Linked DNA regions of Drosophila melanogaster. The protein of the gene in region 3 interacts with the protein of the main gene of each other region in a pairwise test. Each region holds a gene or a part of one and is shown on either strand. Other genes may lie near its edges.

What was found.
Region 1: the proteins of Ir60a (region 3) and Men interact in a two-hybrid assay, tested with the Drosophila melanogaster proteins (one large-scale study listed by BioGRID).
Region 2: the proteins of Ir60a (region 3) and CG7920 interact in a two-hybrid assay, tested with the Drosophila melanogaster proteins (one large-scale study listed by BioGRID).
Region 4: the proteins of Ir60a (region 3) and Gyf interact in a two-hybrid assay, tested with the Drosophila melanogaster proteins (one large-scale study listed by BioGRID).

What each region holds. Positions count from the first base shown.
Region 1 is NT_033777.3:12,719,397-12,724,302, reverse strand, and holds the start of Men (malic enzyme), read left to right. Parts: upstream 1-1,860; 5' UTR 1,861-2,105; coding exon 2,106-2,167; intron 2,168-3,518; exon of another isoform or gene 3,519-3,636; coding exon of another isoform or gene 3,637-3,686; intron 3,687-4,275; coding exon 4,276-4,900; intron 4,901-4,906.
Region 2 is NT_033777.3:30,009,932-30,017,086, reverse strand, and holds CG7920 (uncharacterized protein), read left to right. Parts: upstream 1-1,802; 5' UTR 1,803-2,091; coding exon 2,092-2,272; intron 2,273-5,025; coding exon 5,026-5,418; intron 5,419-5,479; coding exon 5,480-5,884; intron 5,885-5,969; coding exon 5,970-6,424; 3' UTR 6,425-6,611; downstream 6,612-7,155. Other genes in the region: Mgat2 (mannosyl (alpha-1,6-)-glycoprotein beta-1,2-N-acetylglucosaminyltransferase), read left to right, coding at 213-427, 493-715; Nlp (nucleoplasmin), read right to left, coding at 7,107-7,155.
Region 3 is NT_033778.4:24,248,526-24,253,244, reverse strand, and holds Ir60a (ionotropic receptor 60a), read left to right. Parts: upstream 1-1,941; coding exon 1,942-2,856; intron 2,857-2,954; coding exon 2,955-4,190; downstream 4,191-4,719. Other genes in the region: nord, read right to left, coding at 1-124, 191-440, 514-599.
Region 4 is NC_004353.4:863,987-868,817, reverse strand, and holds the start of Gyf (gigyf), read left to right. Parts: upstream 1-1,792; 5' UTR 1,793-1,842; exon of another isoform or gene 1,843-1,848; intron 1,849-2,523; 5' UTR 2,524-2,551; coding exon 2,552-2,887; intron 2,888-2,945; coding exon 2,946-3,116; intron 3,117-3,175; coding exon 3,176-3,470; intron 3,471-4,406; coding exon 4,407-4,831.

The DNA.
Region 1 (4,906 bases), on a different chromosome or scaffold from region 3:
CACACCTCTAAAATAGCAATCGCGCGGTTTGAGTGTTGTATTATAAAATGGCAAACTATCAATTGGTCATTGATTTTATTTTCTAACGCAGGTTACAAACATGCATTCCTAAATTGACCCACCAATTTATGGTGAAATAATGTAATTCATAACAAAAGGTGTTATTGTTACAATTATTATTATTATTTGTATTTGTATAATACAAAAGAAACCGTTAATCATAGATAAATAACGGTCGTTTTCAGAACTGCAGCTGGCGCCATCTGTTATTATTTATGAACACTCCAACGCAAACAAAGCTTTTAAGCTTTTATTACATTAACAGTAGCGCCTAAAATTAACGGCCAAATCTAGAGCTTAACGATAGCGCCATCTATTATATTTTAAGCGAACTATCACTTATCAGTAATGTTTTGCAATGCTAGGTTTTATGGTTCTGTTAAACGAATTTAAAAAAATATAAATTATAAAAATTTCTAACTGGAAATTTCCATTCGGAGTGGTTTTTAGTATTTTTTGGAGTTTCGCTTGTATAATCATTGTTATTGTTGGCCTCCTTAAGATACTTTCGTGGTCACTATTGTATGAACTAGATAGAATGAATCGAAATTTTAACAAACTACGATGTTATCTGTGGTTTTTAAAATACATATGTAGATAAGTTAATAATGGTATAGCGACATTCTTTGTTAGTTTTATATGCACACTTTACTTCAATAATCCAACAATTTTCTCGTATATGTCGATAATACCAATATTAATGCAGCCACGATTCCGCCGTATGGTTTTTTTTTACTGACTTAACTGAAATTACAATTGACCCTGGCAGCAATTGAAATCGTGTTGCAACTTTTCATACGACACTTTCGCAAATTTTAGACAGTAAACACAAGCCGACACTTCAACAATAAATTCGATATAGCAAACCAAACCCAGTAATTAATGTGTGTCATATTTGCACAATTGAACAAGATCTTTGAACATTAGTGCAATATATATTATGATTTCAACAGACAGCAGTGCAATAAAGCAAATCTAATTAAAATTCGAGTGCCACCCAGGCGACAAATGAAACAGCGGTAAAATCATTAGGTGATAAAATCAGAGTCAAAAGGCGAAAAAAGCCTAAGGATCCACCACACCGACTACCGAGTCCCCTTCCCCATCGTTTCAACTCAGTGCATTTGAAATGACCCGGAATTCATTGGATTTATAAATTTTTCTTCGCCACTTGCCAAGTGCAGCCGACTGGGACGCGATGGTCAGCAATCGAGTTGCCTTCTTTGAAAGCTGAAATTATTATTTTTTAATTGGCCAGCAACAAATTGCTTCATGCATTTGTGTGTGCCGCCCAGAGGTCACTGCGATTAACCAACCGCTCAGGTTTTGTGTGACTCCAAGTGAAGTACAACTCAGCGCCAAAGCTTCTCTAAGGCTGCAACGATTAATCAAATACGGTGAAACCCCGAAATGAAAGTCTTGCTAGATTAAAATTAAAAAGAGAATACAAACAAACCCATTTTTGTATAGTCCTTTTGTAAAGCATAAAAATTTACAAATTATAGTTAAATAAAACAGCAGATTACCTAATATCAACGTTAAATAGTGTTTAAAGTTATTGATTTTTATATAAGAAATAAACTAAAAACCTATTAAAAATGCATTTTAGATTTCATCCTTTTTAGCGAGGGGCCACTGTAGCCGTCTGGGCCTACCAAAGTGACTCAGTGGAGCAAATGTCGCGTGCTGCCTGCGTGCGGGTGCGAGCGGGAGGGCAGCACCGGACACTCTCCTTCTCCTTCTCCTTTGGGCCGCCCGCTGCTAGCAAGTTGCCTCCGGTGTTCGCAGAGCCGCGATTTCAGCGCGAGTTCAGTTTTTGATTCAGTTTCAGGCGGTTCGGAGTTGCTAAGTCAAGCGCAATAGCTCAAAATACACTTTTTTTAATTTTTGTTAATAACTGTTTTTAATAATTCCGGTGAAACATCGCGTGGTCAAGCGAACTGAGTTAATTTTCGCGTTAGAAAAGTTCACAAGTTTTGCGTTTACCAAATAATTAACTATAACTATTTAACTGGAGCTAATTTAACTGAAATTTAGAACCCAAAATGGGTAATTCCAGTTCCATTTGCGCCGATCGCAATGTCATAACAAATTTCGATGAAAATGGGTAAGAAATGAAATGGAAAAGTGAACAAACTGAAGCTGAACTCAAGCGATTGGCAAAAGAGGATTTCGAAAATGCGAGAGTTGGCCAAAGAGTTTGTGTTTACTAATGCGCAAACATGTTTGTAATTAATTTGTTTATTTTTATTGTTACTAAAAACTAATAACTGAAAGATTAGGAAATTATATTTTACATAAAAAAGTTATTTATAAAAAACCATTACAAATTCTTAACATTTTTTGTTTCGATACTTAATATATTTAAGTAGATCCTTTCCTGCAACTACAAGTTTTTTCTTGTGCAAATGCAAGCCAAGCCACCGCCCTCAGCCCCGCCCCTCCAATAATTTGTTTCTCGAGGTGTCATTAGTGGTCAATGATTCGTTTTACTAGTGTTTTATCAACGATTTACAGGCGACTCGTCGGCGTTGCGATAAAAAAGAATAACTTCTGACACACGCCATCGATAAAAAATTAGAGCACCACCTTCTTAATTAACGATTTTCGAAGTAAAAAGAAAAAAAAAAGTTAGAGCGACAGGTGTGTTTTGCTCACGAAGGTACTTGGAAAATGTAATTCGTTGGCAAAGCTGAAGTAAATTGTTAATATTTATGAAGGTTGCTCGGGCACACACACAAACATGTGTGATATATTCCAATTTATTCGCCTGCCGTGTTTTACTTTCAATTTTTGTGTAATAATTGAATATATCAAACAGACATCCGAGCAAAAGCGGAACGGGCCCACCGGTCGTATGAGTGAGTCAAGTGCAAAGTGGGGCGGGAACTGAAGCGATTCGGGACACTGAAGGTTAAGGTTGGGGTTTGGGGCTTCTACCTTGAGGCGTCTCTTTAAATAATTTATACTTAGTCAGATGCCACAAGTTCAGGAGGTATTATTGGTTTATATTTAACGCCATCGAGTCTAATAATCTCTAATAGAAAAGGTTCGGTTTATTTAATTCAAGTAATGCACGCACGTTGTACTTAAGTTTACATTAAAATCAAAGCTACTGATTATAAATAATAGTAGATAAGAAATTGCTAACTGCAATACTCTATAGTCTAATTTGAATACTATTATTTCGACCGCTGCTGTTCTCACGGAAACTTTTCGCATGCTATTCACGCCGCATCGCAATGTTTTCCAGGTCCCAGACAAATGATTTGATGGTAATAATCGTTGTTTAATGGCGTTTATATGTGCAGATAGTGTTTGCACCGCCCTTATCAGTCAGCTGATATACCCCACACAACTGAAACTAATCGGAGAGAAAGAGCCAAAGAGCGCGGAAACAAAACAAAATCGCAAAGTGTATACATATGGTGGTAGCAAAACAAATCGAATACTGCGGTTCAGTTCAGCACGAAAGCTGCAGCAACGCAGACAAAAGTCAAATACTCAGTGAGATAATTGTCGGCAAATCAATATACTAATAAGTATATAATATAGAAGACTTTTAAGAGCACCGCCATGTACTCGATCCTACGACGCTGTTCTGGTATCAGAAAAACTTTTGGACCGTGAGTCGAATGCAAGAATTTCAGAATAACAAGTATAATGTGGTGTCATACGATTGGACCACAGATCAAGAGGGTGTGTTTCTGAATTGGCAATAATCAGTGTCACTTTGGCACCACTTATCGGTTTCCATCTGGAAGGCGTGTCTGCGATGCATCGCCTCATCATATGACCATGCACATACGTTCAAACATATCAGCGCATTTCAAAGGTTCTGAAAACCTTGATAAGGAATCTGAAACGAAGAGTACCCACCCTTTAAGGGCCTCTTTTAACCCTAAATACCATTTTATTGCTCTACGACTTTTTGGCTATTACAAAAAGCTTTTTATGGTGAAATTCATATATTATTATATACTGTTATATAATATACTATTCAAATAAGATATATATACTATTAAAATGTAATATATATATTATTAACAATTGTTAGTGTGGGAACGTGGAGTGTGTACGATTAAAATTCAATTAAAAATGTTAACATCGGTTCTTTCAGAAAGAGTATCCGAATGTTGGTGACGAATTGGTTGTTATTGTCACTCCCGCATTGACATTCATTCACATATTGTCTGCTCTCTCTCTCTCCCTCAGCACGCCGGTTTATCCCACCGCCAACAATTCGCAGAGTCCTTCCTCATATAGTCGCGGCAAAGAGCGCGAGCTCGGCTGTTACACGAAGAGAAACAGCAACAGCAACAACAACAATAGCCATGAGAGAGAGAGTCAGAGCTGTTGTAGTAGTCGTGTGTGTAAAAATCATACGACCACAACGACAACCACACTCGAATACGAACTTTCCAATTTCGCAAAACTAACGACACGAATCACAACGCAAAGTGCCGCCGAAGTGGACACATCGCCGCATACGGATACGGAAACGCATAGGGACAGAGATTCGAATCCGGGTAATATAGCCTTAGCCACCGATTTGGAACTGCCCAAGGGTCTGCCGTTATCGTTATCCTCGCGACACCACTGGAATCAGCTGCAGAGCAGTTTGCACGCCCTTCACCACCAGCAACAGCAACAACAACAGCAACTACGTTCATACAGCTCCACTAGCGAAACAAATTTGGAAGACAAGATGAGCAAACCCGATTCGAAACTAGATAAATACGCGCAGCGCGATCGCCTGGGCCTTTGGGGCACTGGTGACAATGAGGTGGTCGGCAGCCTCTCCGGATTCACCCGACTCTTGGACAAGCGCTACTCAAAGGTGAGT
Region 2 (7,155 bases), on a different chromosome or scaffold from region 3:
CTTAAGCACTTTGAATCCGCCTAGTGGTTAGTCCAGGACGAAGACGGAGCAAGTGCCCGTGGAGAGCGGAATCCGAACGACGCGGAAATTTGAAATTTGCATGCCTCCACTCCACCCCCAACCTTACCTTTTGCTAATCCGTTTTCTATATTGTTGCTTGCCCCATTATTTTGTGCATTGTGCTTGGTTGACCTGGTTCTTCTCTTCGGCAGGTGGAGGTCATGCCCTGGGTCAGCAGCAAGCACAACATGGGCTTCGCCTTCAATCGCACCACCTGGTCGAACATCCGGAAATGCGCCCGCCACTTCTGCACCTACGATGACTACAACTGGGACTGGTCCTTGCAGCACGTTTCGCAGCAGTGTCTGCGGCGAAAGCTGCACGCCATGATTGTCAAGGGGCCGCGAGTCTTCCACATCGGAGAATGGTGAGCATGTGGACCCCTGTCGTCCAACGGAGCGCCATAGTAATTCGTGTCCTCCTCCCTTCCAGCGGCGTTCATCACAAGAACAAGAACTGCGAGTCCAACCAGGTGATCTCGAAGGTGCAGCACGTGCTGCGCATAGCCCGCAACTCGCACCAGCTCTTCCCGCGCTCCCTCACCCTCACGGTGCCCAGTCTGATGAAGAAGTCGAAGCTGCGCAAAGGCAACGGCGGCTGGGGCGACATGCGGGATCACGAGCTGTGCCTCAACATGACGCTGGCCACGAGGTAAGGCCGGGGAGCCCACGGAATGGAAACCAATCAGTCAGCAGCAAGGAAGCCTAGCTAATAGCGTTATCTAAGTAGGATTATTAAGCAGTAGTCTTAGTCACTGTAAACGAACATTCAGCAAGTACTCTGCATTAGCTAACTAACCGAAAATAATCAAAGGCCAGAAGGCAGAAGCCGGAAGCCAGAAGGCATGAGCCGGAAACCGGAAACCGGAAGCCAGAAGCCCAAAGACCCTCGCCTCCGGCGCTGCACAACTCATACTATAAGTAACCCTCTAGTCACACATTCAATTGGAATCGCCGTGTTGTTGCAACCTCCAATCTTGTGCCGTTCGCCCTTCAGTTTGTCGATCATCACTGGAAGTGTTTAGGCTCCGTCCAGATCCAAAGATCGACAGAGTTCCAAGCGACGGGGCGGCAATCCTTCAAACTGAAACCAGAAACTAAACCTACGAATACTAGCGATAGACCATACACATACATACATATGTACTAACTCGTATCCCCAGATTGTGCCGAAGCCGTTTCGCAAGCGGCCAATTAATTTGAGTCTAGATCTAGAGGCAGCAAATCGCATAAACTAGTCATAGCAATGTATTACAGCACATGCGCTATAATACATCATAGATCAAACTTTTGATATATCTACGAGCCTACGTTTTAAGCCTGTACATAGAGGAATTGCGTTGTATACATCACATAAGGTCTTTTTATGATATTAACGCGGAACTAATGTAATTTGTTATTTTTTAATCGTTAGTCCAAAGCGCTTTTATGTATTAGGAATTTTGATTAATCGAACGAATAATCCTAGTGAATAAACGCCAAGTAAATGCTCTACCAGTATAGACTTTAAAAACCAAAACAATGTGTTTCATTCGCCTAAGAATTGCACTTATCAGCGTTCAAAAGTGGCGCCAAATGCACCAACAATCGATAAATATCGATAGCCGGTATTATCGAACTGCCCGTGCGTTGCTCAACACAGGCAGCTGGTAGTTTTTGAAATATCAAAATAAAATGTGGAAAGAAACAATAGATTTCAAAATTCCTTACCACATTGGAACACATTAAACAATCAAATGAGTACATCTACGTGAGTGCTACGAAGTGCAGAGGAGTAGGCCGCAGCTGGGCGGGATTAAATTGCGATCGGTGGAAGAGAGCTTTCGCCGCGGAGCTTTTATGGCGTTTTTGCTTGGCGAACCAGTTGCAAATTTGGTGCCGCAGCGGACGGAACTCAGCGCAGCAGTCTCTCCCCAGTGAAAACCCACCACTCATCGCCTCCTGCATCTCGCGGACTTCTCGCTTAACCCTTTGCGACGTGCGTGCCTACAACAGAGTACTCAGTACACACTACTACACTACACAGTCCACCATGAGCAAACAATTGGCGCGCCATGTGGGCCAGCTGAACAGCCTCCTGAAGACGGCGGCCACCGCCTCCTCGGTCTCCGCCCACAACAACTACTTCACCTACGTGCGGGAGCTGTCGCATCCCATCGCTCGAGAGCCTCCAATCGTCAAGCCGGAAGAGGCCGTGGCATGTGTAAAATCCGGTGAGTCCCACTGGCCCCCATATCATTTGGCCAGGAGCCCGCCACGCCCCCCCTTCCACCGTCCTAGCGGAACTGGCCTCCCAGTTATCGCTGCCTTGCGCTGTTTGCAATCTTTCGGTTATGTAACCTTCTAGTGGGCTTGCTTATGAAAACAGAATGAAAACGAGAACACCGGGTTGTGGGGCCATGCAAATGTAAGCCCATGTGTGCCCGCAATCCAAACTACTTTGGAGCACATATGCATGTACATACGTACATATGTACGTAAATAGGGAAGGGCACTCACAGGGTGCTGGGTATATGGATGGCTGGCATTTAATTGACCGTGATTAGGAGCCACTCGTGGGGATATATAATACACAAGTTAGAATCAAATATTTAGTGTATTGTATTACCTTGTGATAGGGAATAGGTTTTTAGTTGATTGGGGTTCTAGTATGATAAATAGTTAGGGGAGTTATACAATAGGGAAATCACACTTCAAGTAGCTGCCCTTATCAAAATGCTATCCTCCTTGTGGCGGCTATCAGTAGACCCCATGTTTTTATTCGTAATTCCTGGTGTTGCAGCAGCACAACTGTAAGTTATATTCATTTAATCGCGTGAAACCAGCTGTGCGTGCCCCTACCACGTACATATGTAGATATTTATACACATTTAATAATGCATACGAGTATACTCGGCGCTATAGATGAGTTTCCAGCCAAGTTGTACTTTGTACCCCGGGCAAAAAGAAGAGAAAGGTCCGATGCAAAGCTCAGCTTGGTGGCAAGAACAACCTTGTATGTAGCTCATAAACAAGTCAGCCGGCCTCTGGATGTGGTGCTGATAAGGCCTGCTCTCTGTAGGAACCTATATACCATATACTATGGTATATAGCAGCACCTCTATAAGAAGGCAAGGTTATGCAACGTGTATCAGCAGGTGAATTATGGAAACAAAAGCATGAATGGAGTGCTTCGAAAAATATTCATTAATTCCTAACAAGCTTTCTTATCAAAACGATAAATCTGTTAGATAATTTGTATATGTTCGTTTAACGAAACCAGTCATCTGATTTTTGGGAACCCTCTGCTCTGATTAAATTCAATTGTCCCAATTTGGAGGCGAGTCTCCTGGGATTCAGATGCAAACAAATATGTGGACACGCCCTCGGCGCCCGCTTAAATCTCAATTTCTTAGCACTTCTACGGCATCTCATCAGCAGGTCCCTGCAAATTGGTGATATTGCGGAGGGGGGCGGGTCTTTGGAGGGGGAGTGGCACATCGCAGCGCCCAGCGAAACGTCACCCAAAATCGGTATCTCTAATTTTAGCCAAAATCACCAACACGAGCCATGCCAAATCTGCGACGTAATTTGATTTGGAAAACTTTTTCGTTTGGCACGTTTTTGGCAGATAATAAGTGGTACAGTAGGCACTAGCTAACTAAGCCTATGCGTAAGAAATGCATAATTGGCCTTTTCAAGTAACGGTAAATAAATAAATAAATTGATTGTGAAGCCTCGCGGAAAACTTGACCGTGTGTGTCGACGTGGCTCAGACGTCTACCGATAAGAATCGCACTTATCGCATGATTACCCCAGTTGAAGGGGCTCGCTCGTTCGACTTAATGTACATCATGGTTCTTTCTATTCCCTCATACAGAGGAACTTCGGAATGCCAGCCTCTTCAGGGGGGAGACCAAAATAGATTGGCCAAACATGTTGCATGTGCTTAAGACTGCATTAGAGATGCAATTCAGATGTGTATTAAATAGATACAAAATTTATACATTTTTATAGACCAAGTATACAAGTATCATTCGTCCCAAAGTTCCGATTAAAAGCTACAATTCTCTTACGTAACACAGCCCAATCAGATACATTTTGATCAATTGATGTGCTTCTACTTTCTGGCTCGTTAATCAAATGACAAAATCTATATATTATACTATAATCTCGAATCGACATGTTTGCCATGTAATGCCAACTGGGAAACCGGTGTTATTTATTTACAAACATTCATTATCACGCGTTTCTGGGCAATAAGCGCTCCCACTCCTCGCATTCGCATTATCACTCTGCCTATTAACTAATATACATTTTTACATATGAATGTATGTATGTATAGCTATAGCTTTTAAGCTTTCGAGAGCAAGTGGAATGATCAGAGAGAAAATTACCGAATTTCGGAACAATTCGTTTTGGAAACAAATTTATAGTCTCAATGAAAGCATGACCAGCGCAATAAAAATATGTAAATAACCATGAATGACTTAGAGAAACATTATTTGCTGATTAAAGCTCTAAAGAATGTTTATATTACTATTTATAACAATTTTAATAACAATATAAATATATATATGAATGTTTTTTATTATCAATTATCAGAGAGTGTTCTAATTTCAAAACAAGTTTTTCTCTTAGCGACATTATAAACTTATTTTATTTCGAAGTGCATTAATTGCCAGCTCAGGATTCCATTGAATGGATTAGGCCACGCTCTTCAAATTAAGATATCATAAAGTTCAAGAACTGATAGTAATCCTGGTTATTTCGTTATCATTGAACACTCAAAGCATAACTAATTTAATTAGACAATATTGAAAAGCATTATTTGTAGGCGCTCGGATAGCATGTCATGCAAATCTTTAGATAAGACCTGCTGAATAGATTAAAGTGTACAATAACTGCCGATTGACTGATTAGCAGCGTGTGCGTAATAAAAATATTGGTAATAAAACCTGCGGTTTCTCGCCTTCATTCCATTCAGGTGACACGGTTTTCGCCGGAGGAGCAGCCGCCACGCCCGTGGCTCTGCTGAACGCGATGGCCAAGCACGGAAAGAGCAACAACCTGGAGTGCGTCACGGTGTGCCACATGCACACGGAGGGTCCTGGCGAGTACGCCAAGCCGGAGTACAAGGACCATTTCCGTTCAAACTCCTTCTTCATGGGCGCCAACGTGCGCAAGGCTGTTGCCGACGGTCGTGGCGATAATGTGCCGATCTTCCTTCACGAGATCCCGAATCTGTTCTACAAGCAGATCGTAAAGCCAGATGTGTCCTTCATCCACGTGTCGCCGCCGGATAACCACGGCTACTGCTCCCTCGGCACCAGCGTCGATTGTGTGCGCGCTGCGCTGCTCAACTCGAAGCTCATTGTGGGTGAGTTGCGTGAACGTCAGTTGTATGATTTATAGTGGGACTAATGCTACTCCTTCTTTAGCTCAAATCAATCCCAAGATGCCGCGCACCTTCGGCGATGCCATCATCCACAAGTCTCACTTCGACCTCGCCATCGAGGTGACCGATGATCTGCCTCAGCACGGAACTGGTAAGATTTCCGAAGTGGAGAAGAAGATCGGCAAGCTCATTGCCGAGAACCTCGTCAAGGACGGCGCCACCCTGCAGATGGGCATTGGCAGCATCCCAGACGCCGTACTCGCCGCCCTGCACAACCACAAGGATCTGGGCATCCACTCCGAGATGTTCGCCAACGGTGTCGTTGAGCTCGTGCGCAAGGGATGCGTCACCAACAGCAAGAAGAAGATGCACCAGGGCAGAATTGTGGGCTCCTTCCTCATCGGTGACAAGGCTCTGTATGACTTCGTGGACAACAATCCCTTCATCGGTAGGTTTAGTTCTGAAACACTGAAGTTGAATTGAAAATGTATGGGATATGAGCTCGATCTAATGCCTCACTGTCCACCTTTCAGAGATGTACGCCATCGACTATGTGAACAACACCAGCATTGTGAAACAGCAGCCTCGCATGACGGCCATCAACAGCTGCATCGAGGTGGATCTGACTGGACAGGTGTGCTCAGACTCGATTGGTCCCCGCTTCTACTCCGGCTTCGGCGGACAGGTGGACTTCATTCGCGGAGCGGCGGAGGGTCTCGATGGACTGGGTGTGCCAATTATTGCCATGCCATCGACCACCAACAAGGGCGAGAGCAAGATTGTTCCCACGCTGAAGGAAGGCGCTGGCGTCGTCACTTCGCGTGCCCACGTCCACTACGTCGTCACGGAGCATGGAATCGCCTCGCTGTTCGGCAAGAACGTGCGCCAGAGGATGTACGAACTCATCCAGATCGCCGATCCCAAGCACCGCGAGACCCTGGAGAAACAAGCCTTCGAGCGCATCAAGGTTATGCCCTCGCCGAACTAAGCAAGCACTGAAGAAGCACTAGAGATCACTATTTACTAGCAGCGACCCGCAATCTTTGAAGGCATTCCCGATATCGCTTTGATCCACTTCATAGAACTGCAATCATGATAGCCCTTTAGCATTACCAAATCTGAAATTTCAATTGATGAGTAACGAATTGATGGGAGAAATAAAACTGAAATTGATTAAATGCCTGGTTTCAAGAATGTTTGCTAAACGGGGAAGATAAGTATTTATAGTTGCCACTTAGTTCATCAGTGTAAGAGAGCGTTTAAAACGAACTCCCACTTTAGTAAAATGCAATAATATTGTTTGTATTCCGACAAGTTTATTTTCATACTGCAAATATGAAGGGGCGCGTACAGGAAGTCCGGCTTAGCTTTAGTTATACTTTAATATATATACAAATCTGTGTGTTCGATTAGTGTCCGGATCAGTCACAGTCCGATCCGCTCCCGCTTCCGGGTGCGGAACTCCTGGCTGAGCGACAGACCATTCGCTGGGGAAACACGACCGAGCACACAACGTTGTCTTTGAATTGAATGTAAAAGGAGCTGTTCAAAAGGAACTAGATTGTATTCTCAGTATGCATCGTATTGTATTATAGGGCCTAAAACTGTTTTTGCTTTAAAATCTACACGTTCATAGCTTAAACCTCGATGGATGATTGGCGGTCAGCAGTTTACTTCTTCTTGTTGTTCTTGGCATTTTTACCATCGGCGGCGTTCTCG
Region 3 (4,719 bases):
CATGGGCTGCTGGTCCGTGTAGGCGGACACCGCCTGGCAGAAGTTGGTGAAGATCATCCGCGGCGTGTCCATGGAGAGTCTCTGAATCACCAGGCAATAGTGCATGACATGGAAATCAAACTTGCTGAAACGATTTTGAATAATCATAAGTTATAAGTATATCCGTGTAATAAAATCATCTAGATCTCACCTCCTTTCCCACTTGACGATCATCTCGCGCTTCCGCACGCGATTCTGGGTGCGAATGGCGATTCGGTGCGTGGCGTTGAGGAGGGGCCAGTCGTGCTGGGGATGCTCTGCCAGGGCGTCCACCTTGAGGGCTCCCGAGTGGCGGGCGAGGACGAAGAGGTCGTACTGGCCACGCAGGGCGCAGGGCAGCACCAGACTGCCCACAGCCACACCTGGCCCAGGTGCCACTGCCGCCGGCCGAAGGGGGTTTCCTGCAGAGGCGGTTGGGTGGCGGGTTAGTGGCGGTTGGTGGCGGTATGCGGCTCCTCAAAGGGGCGGACTTACCTGTCTGATTGTAGTACATCTTGCGGCCCACGGGCGCCGAAAAGCGAATCGTCAGCGGCGTCGAGTCGTTCAGGTTCAGCACAAATCTGGAAGACGGAGAACGAGATGAAGGCGGCTCTTCGAGGGGCGGAGTAAGTGAGCTGTTAACGCCCTTTGTCAAAAATGATGACACTAAATTATCACACGCAATTTGTTTTGCCGCCTGTCTGAGCCGAACTGAACCAAATGAGTCAGCGGCTTTTGGCCATACCCTCCCTGACTAAAGGATCAGCTTGGTTAGATAAGTCGTAACTTATAACTTATAACTTAACTTAACAATAACTAACTAACTAACTAATGAAATAACAATGGTGTCAAAAAGAATCTCATTTTGTATCTCTCACTGCATACTTTTAAATCACCTTTGGTATACAAGTTGGCTTAATTACGGGGCATCCGAAAGGGTATACCCTCTTCGGCTATCCTTGTCCTTTCGCCAACTTTGTTTATCCATCTTCGCTGATGCCGCTGCAACTTTGTTGCAGCCAAAGATTGCGCTCAAGTCCCCTGGGCACTGGCCCTTTGCTGAATTTGCTGGCTCTTGTATTGTAATTAAATGCGAAATTTACGAGCAATTTTTCTAATGACAAACTGCTAAGACAAATGAGCTCGCCGATACACCCACATGGACACAGGGAAACAGGGAGCTTCGAGCTGGCAAGGATGCAGTTTCCAAAGGGGCAGGACAGGATGGCCATTCCATTGCAGCAAATGACTCATTGACTTGGCGAGATGGTCGGCCATCTCGAGTTTTATTTTTATGACCGGCTACTTCCGGCCAACGCCATGGGCCATCCTCCTCGTCATCATCCCCCGCAATCCGGACGAGCGAACAGAAGTTGGTGCGCCACATAGCCATATAGCCATTATACCATGCAGTCCGTCGTATTTTTGGCCGCCCTGCCAAAAGGTTCGGATTGATGGAGTGTTTTAATGCATTTCGACCATTGTTGGCGGTGGCGCCGCTGCGACTGAGCAAATATTTGCTTTAATTTAAGCCTTGCATGTTGCAATGGCGATTGTTTGTTGTTTTCTGCTGTTGTTATTATTGTTGCTGGGGGCATCCTCGTTGTCGGCACGCTGACAGCAGTCAATTATACAAGGCAAACAACGGCCAAAGGCGAAAGTTGAATGCGCTTCCGGACGCGAAACTCCAGAATGACTTAATGCACTTTTACAAGCCAGCAGTGGTTGTTTAATGGACGGATTATCATATTACAGCGATTTGCGATGGATCAGTCAGAGGCACTGTGTAGTGTTAATACTGTTCCAGACCCCAAACCGATATACCCAAGCAATCAAATGTAGGACATCAGTCACATCACCTTCCCACGGAAACTCACACCAGCCGCAGTTAATTCGCAATTGTCCGACGTGACAGAAGCAATAATGTGGTGTAATAATCCGGGTCTCATCATCATCATCTTTCTGGGGCAGATTTTAAACCTGTGCCAGGGGATAGTGAATCTTTCGAATGAGACGGCCAACACGGTCATCTTCATGCTGCCCGAAAAGGACTTGGGTCCCGATGTGTGGAAGGCTGGAGTGGGCTGCCTCGATAGCTTCGCCCAAATCTTCTTCTTTCGCAACCCGAAGGAGCGCTTCACCAGAGCCTATAACTTGATGCTGGTGCACGCCTTTCATCTGTCCAGTCCGGCGGATCAGATCCAGGAAGGATTCAGCAAACTGATCAACGAAGCAGTCACGAATCCAGGGCCGCCGGACAGGGAGGAACTCTTCCAAATGCGCGTGGCCAGTGATTACAACATCACGAATGGGACCGAAGACAAGGGAGAGCTGATCCTAGCGGACAATTATGTGATAGTGGTGGACTCGGTGGATCGATTAAAAGAGCTAATGAAGAAAAAAATTGTCGAAATGCGATCCTGGAATCCAGGAGCGCGTTTTCTGGTGCTCTTTCATAATGCGACTTGTCGGAATCGACCGCTTGGCGTAGCCTCCAATATTTTCAAGGACCTCATGGAAATGTTTTACGTGCACCGAGTTGCTCTTCTCTATGCCAACTCCACCATGAACTACAATCTGCTGGTCAATGATTACTACAGCAATGTAAACTGCAGGATTCTGAATGTCCAGAGCGTGGGCCAGTGCCACGATGGCAAACTTTACCCCAATAATGCTGTCGTTAAGGCCTCCATGCAGGACTACGTATCAGGATTCAGTCCCAGGAACTGCACCTTTTTTGCCTGTTCCTCCATCTCTGCTCCCTTTGTGGAGGCCGACTGTATCCTGGGACTAGAGATGAGGATCCTGGGGTTCATGAAAAATCGACTGAAATTCGATGTGAGTATTTAACACTTTCATACTTCAAGATCGTCTTGGCTTGCAAAAGTCCTGCTTATTGTGCTAAGCTAACAACTATCCTATTTTCCACTGGTAAGGTAAACCAAACCTGCAGCCTGGAGTCACGTGGTGAAATGGATGGCCCAGCTAACTGGACTGGATTACTGGGGAAAGTCCAGAACAACGAGTGCGACTTTGTCTTCGGCGGCTATTATCCGGACAACGAGGTGGCGGACCATTTTTGGGGATCCGATACCTATCTGCAGGATGCGCACACGTGGTACATAAAAATGGCCGACAGAAGACCCGCCTGGCAGGCGTTGGTGGGTATTTTCGAAGCCTACACCTGGATTGGATTCATCCTGATTCTAATAATCAGCTGGCTGTTCTGGTTCACCCTGGTTATGATTCTTCCGGAGCCGAAGTATTACCAACAGTTGAGTCTTACGGCCATTAATGCCCTGGCCGTCACCATATCGATAGCCGTCCAGGAACGACCCATTTGCGAGACGACGAGGCTGTTCTTCATGGCCCTGACTTTGTATGGCCTGAACGTGGTGGCTACATACACGTCCAAGATGATAGCCACCTTCCAGGATCCCGGCTACCTTCACCAGCTGGACGAGCTGACGGAAGTGGTGGCCGCGGGTATTCCGTTTGGCGGCCACGAGGAGAGTCGCGACTGGTTCGAGAATGACGACGACATGTGGATCTTTAACGGATACAACATTTCGCCGGAGTTCATTCCGCAATCGAAGAACCTGGAGGCGGTGAAGTGGGGCCAGCGGTGCATCCTGAGCAACCGGATGTACACGATGCAGAGTCCCCTGGCGGACGTCATATACGCCTTTCCCAACAACGTTTTCAGCAGTCCGGTGCAGATGATCATGAAGGCGGGATTCCCCTTTCTCTTCGAGATGAACAGCATCATCCGCCTCATGCGCGACGTGGGCATTTTTCAGAAGATCGACGCGGACTTTAGGTACAACAACACGTACCTCAACAGGATCAACAAGATGCGCCCCCAGTTCCCGGAAACGGCTATCGTCCTGACCACGGAGCACCTGAAGGGACCCTTCTTCATCCTGGTGGTGGGCAGCTGCTGGGCCGCCCTCACGTTCATTGGCGAGCTAATAATCCACAGATGGCGAACCCAGCTGGTCAGCACGAGCGAGCAGCAGGACAGGAGGAGTGACAAGAGGAGGAGGAGGAGGAGGAGGAGGAAGCCAGAAAAGGATAACCGCTGGCAGCGACAAGTTCAAGTGGCTCCAGTCGTTCGATTTACGCCAGTCAAACGACGCAAAGTTTTCCAGGGACAAACAAGTCAAAAGTAAACTAACCCAAACTAACTCCCTAGATGGCTGCGATAAAATTGACTCAATTCACATAAATTTGCAATTGAGAGACACTGACTCTGACTCTGACTGGCAATCCCCAAGCCCGTCCCCCCGTCCTTCATCCCCCATCCTCCATCCTCCTGCGATGTCTGGGGCGCTTGTCTGGTCTATAGTCTATATAGTATGGCATAGTGTAGTATAGTATAGTGTGGTTGGTCTGGCCCGTGCCGTTCGGGTCGCTTCTGTTACTTTTCACGCGAAATACTTAAAATCAGAGACAAAATTCTATTTTTGCAAACAACAACGGCGGGGAGTCTGTGCCCGTGCCTCTGGGATTGGCATTGGGATTGGGATCGGGAATGGAAGTGGAGGCGGGCAGGGCAGTGCGCAGTGGACGAGCTCCTCGCCCCGCTTTCCGCAAATTGACAATCAGCCTCAGCTTTCCCAGCTGCTCTGCTGCCGGAAAACTCTGGGCGTAAACAGAGATAAAGAACGAGTTAAGCAGATATCCCTATAAGTGGCGCAT
Region 4 (4,831 bases), on a different chromosome or scaffold from region 3:
TGTTCAAATGTTTAAAAATGTTTAAAAATTCAAAATTCATGTTTATTTAAATATTTTTAACACCTACACCATATGCATATCATTCGATTTCTGGAGGCATACTAGTAATCTTATAATTCTAGTCCATGATCTAATATTATAGCACAATAAAGCTAAATTAAATAACTACTTCCATTCTTAATATATTTATCTTTTTTGTATCATGGCGACTTCAGCGTGCCGAACTTCACTATTTTCTTAACAAAATTAATAGTTCAGAAATTTAGCTTAAACCATAGAATTATATGGGGATTCAATCAACTCTAATCTGGATAACCGTCCCATTGTTACTTATGAGGTTCAAATTTAATATATATTTATTTGTCTTTATCTTGCACTTAATGGGAACCAACATCAGGCTTACATATTATGCACTCACCCTGTCGTTGTAACTGTGTTGAAGGCCTTTCCACGTTGGTTAACGACGTACTGTAGGAGATTATATGTATAAAGTTTAACTGCCTTAGAAGCCGTTTTCATCCTTGCCGAGATAACGAGAAGCCTCGCCTACTGCTCGCCATTCCTTCTCATACTCCTAACTTGGAGCAGGCTGAGATCCTGCTGTTGCAATGATATTTTTTCCCCCACACGCAGGAACGCTCAGAACGGGTGCAACTGACTTTAGGTCTCGTTACGAAGTCTGCGTTTTTGGTTTACATTTTGAAATGACCCTTACGCTAAATTAAAAGCATTATAAGCGATGCGTTAAGCGCCCGATCTGGGAACAGTGCCAAAATTTCAGATGTACTCACTGCCTCGAAACGTGGTAAAGATTAAGATCGCTCGAGCTTCGCTGTTATACGATTAAGGTATCCGAAAATCCTTCAGAACATGGGCATCAGCGTTATGGGCGTCATATCGTTTTCAGACAAATCACATGCACCATTGGCGATTTTCGTTTCCAATATCTGGGCGTTCATACGTACGAACAGACAGTTATACAAAAGACAAAAGGGGTGCGTATACATCGCAGCAAATTTTTGACACATACCCCTCACTTCATGACTTATGTAAAAAGACCAAAATAATCACAAACCAGGTATTCATTTTGGATCAAACCAGACAAACGTGGTTATGAAAACGGTTATGAAAATAATGTAACCATATTAAAATTTATATATATATATATAAATATATATATCCACTACTATATATATATATATATATATATATTTAAATATATACATTTGTATTTATATATTTATTCAAAATAAACTAATACATCGTTTACTTACACTTTACTATTTCTACTGTTATGTTATAATACTGAAAAACTTGAACTTGAAATGAAAATCGACTGCTTGTTAAATATAAAATTATTAACAATTCCGAAAGACTAAGTTTCAATACAAAGCTAACAACAAGGTAGGAATCTAGCTTTGGCAGTGATAATAATTAAATAATAATATTAAAGCAAGAATTCCCGTTACTCAACTTAAAGAAAAAAATCAACACATAGTTAGTGGTCGTGGAAACATCGTCTGCGTCTATATCTATAGAATCAGCATGCTTTAAGTTCTAGTTCTTATAGTTCCTGAAAGCGAGACGTTCTTACAGACAGACGGATTGGTTGATTTAAAGATTGACACTTATGCATTCTCTAAATCCCGGTGCTTGATGTTGCAATGTGAAGACAAGGGTGATGTATCTGTCAACTAGTAGTAGTGGAGCTAGTGTATAAGAAGCAAAAGTGGCAAGAATACCCCTGTGCTAAATTAAATTGGAAGCTTGACATATCGCAAGACGGCCACGCTGGCCTTGCTCTATCTTATGTTGGCGTTGGTATTTTAAGATATCTCGGTGGTACGTGTAAGTTGAATATTTTTACGAAATTCAATTTAAAAAATTTTTTTAGGATGTGCAGTTATAGTGGCTTGATTTTATTAAGATTACCAGAAGAATTAACTAAACAATCTTTAAAATAAAACACACCCGCCCAGTGTGATAAAGTCACACAAATCAAAAATTTGTACATACATCACTGTGTGTCTGTATGCGTCCAGATACTTACGAATTTTTTTTACCTTTTAGATCTATATTAGTTCTATTAGTTCTATATTTCAAACATGAAAGCTCGAATCAGACATTTCAATTCTATAAACATGTTAATTTTAATGTGTGATGAGGGTGCATGTGTATTTCGCGTTCGTGTGTGACAATCAGTTTGATATTTTAGGTTAGGTTTCTGTGTTGCTTTTATATTATATTATTTTACTTTTACTATCCATTCTGTAAAGCTCTGGTAAGTTTTTTTTTATCACTAGTTCTTAACTAAGCTTTAAAATAAATCCTTTGTTGTACTGTTTGCTTTGAAAAAGACTTGAAGCTGTTTGCTTTATTTATAGAACTTGAACTGTTTGAAAAATAAACAATTGTGCACAGAATCATAAAGCCATTAGGAGTTTAACAAAAACACTGAAAATTTGATTTCATTGCCTTTCTTACAAATAAATCAACCAAAAACTTTTTTGAACTTATTGTCAGCATAACATTAAACAAGAGGCAAATAAAAATGACAGATTCAATGAAATTTGGCCCGGAATGGTTGCGCAATATGTCAGCCGAGCCTTCGGGCTCTCCCAGTACCTACAACGTTGGTAATGCAGCTCAAAACAATTCGATTGGAGGGCACAACCTGGGAAACAACACGGCGGCATCCGCTTCCCGTAATCTATTTCCAGAATACCGGTACGGACGCGAGGAAATGCTGTCCTTGTTCGATCGGAACTGCCTACTGCCGCAGATCCTGCCATCGTTCAAAAAGCTCTTCGTGGAAAAGGTTCAGTGCCCTCTTGCACTGACACCGAGCTCCGAGGAGGACATCAACCAAAACTCACTTGGCAATAACGTATGTGAAGTAATTTGACATGAGTTTTAGAACATAATTTACTTTTCTTTGAAACTAGTCTCGTCCTGCCTGGTTGCAGCGCTCGCCCAGTGGATTTGGTAGTGCCTCCCGAGGCTCTGGACGTGGTGGAACCGTTGACCGGGGACGGATGCGCGGAAAATCGGCCTATCATCCGATATACCAACGCCCAAGCGGTCTATATGATGAAAGCTTATCGGTTATATCAAAGGTAATTGCAAATACGAACTAAATAAGGAAGTACGATTAGTTGTTGATTTTTTCTGCCAGGCCGAACGCACATGGAGCGACCGCAACGGAACTGGAGATTCTGCGGCAACCACCACCTCCACTAGTGGCTCTGGTGCTCTAGATTGGAATGGAACTCCAAGCTCAAGTCCTCGAAAAGATTATTCTAATAATCATCGCAACTTGGAAAACTGGCGACGAACACGTAACGAAGATGGATCCGGTGATGGTCCATCCTCCAGCGGTTCCATGAGCGGACCCGATATTGCTGGTTGGCGGAGCGGTGTCGTCGGTGGAAGTACAAACGCAGGTTTTGGTACCAATAGCCATCGGTGGGGTCAGTCAATTACCTTTATATTATTATTTTTCATTTTTACTCCTACACATATGAGCACAATAATACATGTACTGCTATCTCTATCATGTAAATTTGACTTTCCAAAACTTTCCCCAGCCTATATAGTTGGCTATTCATTCGATACCATTCATGCTACAATCTGTTGTAAAGTTTGTGTTTCTTTAAAACGTATTCTAAAAAACCTTTTCATAAATATATTAAAATTAAGATTAAATGTTTTAGTTAATGAAGTATTTTATATGAGAATATTTAAACAAAAATGCTAATAGACCAGCTGAAATCCCTATGGTAATTTCTATGCAATGCATCAGGCCTTGTTTTTATTTCATTCCTAAAGTACATCGCTGGTAGCTTTAGTACGTTTTCAAATAATGATCTTTTTTTTTCCAGAATAGACTTGATTTATCAAAATTGAAAAATAAAAAAACGCGAGCCCATTTTAAGTGTTATGTATCAAAGTCCAACTAACTAACAGTTCAAACTATTCAAATATGGGCTTGCCTATACATAACAACGTAACCAAATATACTTTTTACACTTTGATACGCTTTACGCTTTATTAAAATGTACTTCTTCACCCGGTAATCTTCTATCGAAGTTTGGATACTATAATAAATTGTATATATAATGTATTTATAAAATTTTTGTCGTGCTTAGTGATTAAGAGTTAGTGTTCTGCCGCTATGTGGATCAGGTGTACAATCACTGACATATTTGCTTTCCTACTTGTATATCTGAATATCGCTTGCATTTCTAGTATCTAACTAAATGGGTAACAGTTTTGCAATAGCTCGACTATAGCGGTTTTCTGTTTAGTAAGTTTGCTATATTTGCTAAGAAGATGAACCAAGTTAAAATTTAAATAGTCCAAGTTATTGAACAACAGTATAGAACTTAAAAAAAAATTTTTTTTAGGAAGATCTACAAGCTGGCGTGATGAAGATCCTAGCGTCGACAATGCAGCTAGTTTACAACGCTCAATTTCAACAGTTGCGACTTTAAGTACAGATCGGACTGGAAACAATAAAGGATCTGGAATCGGAGCTGCAGAGGGAGTAGGGAGCATATCGCACCCACGGTTGTCGAGTTCTAAAATATCTCAATTATGGACTGTTAATAATGCAGCCGGTGTTGATGCCGACGAAAATCTACCCGAATGGGCAATTGAAAATCCATCGAAATTGGGTGGCAGTTTTGATGCTAGTGGAGCCTTTCATGGAGATACTGATCTAAAACCTATCAAAAGTTCGCATAATACTTTAAAAACCAAAAGCTTAGACTCCTATGACGATGTAAAAAGACCGAAAAGTAAAGACCTGTCTGATCCAGATAGTGGAAAC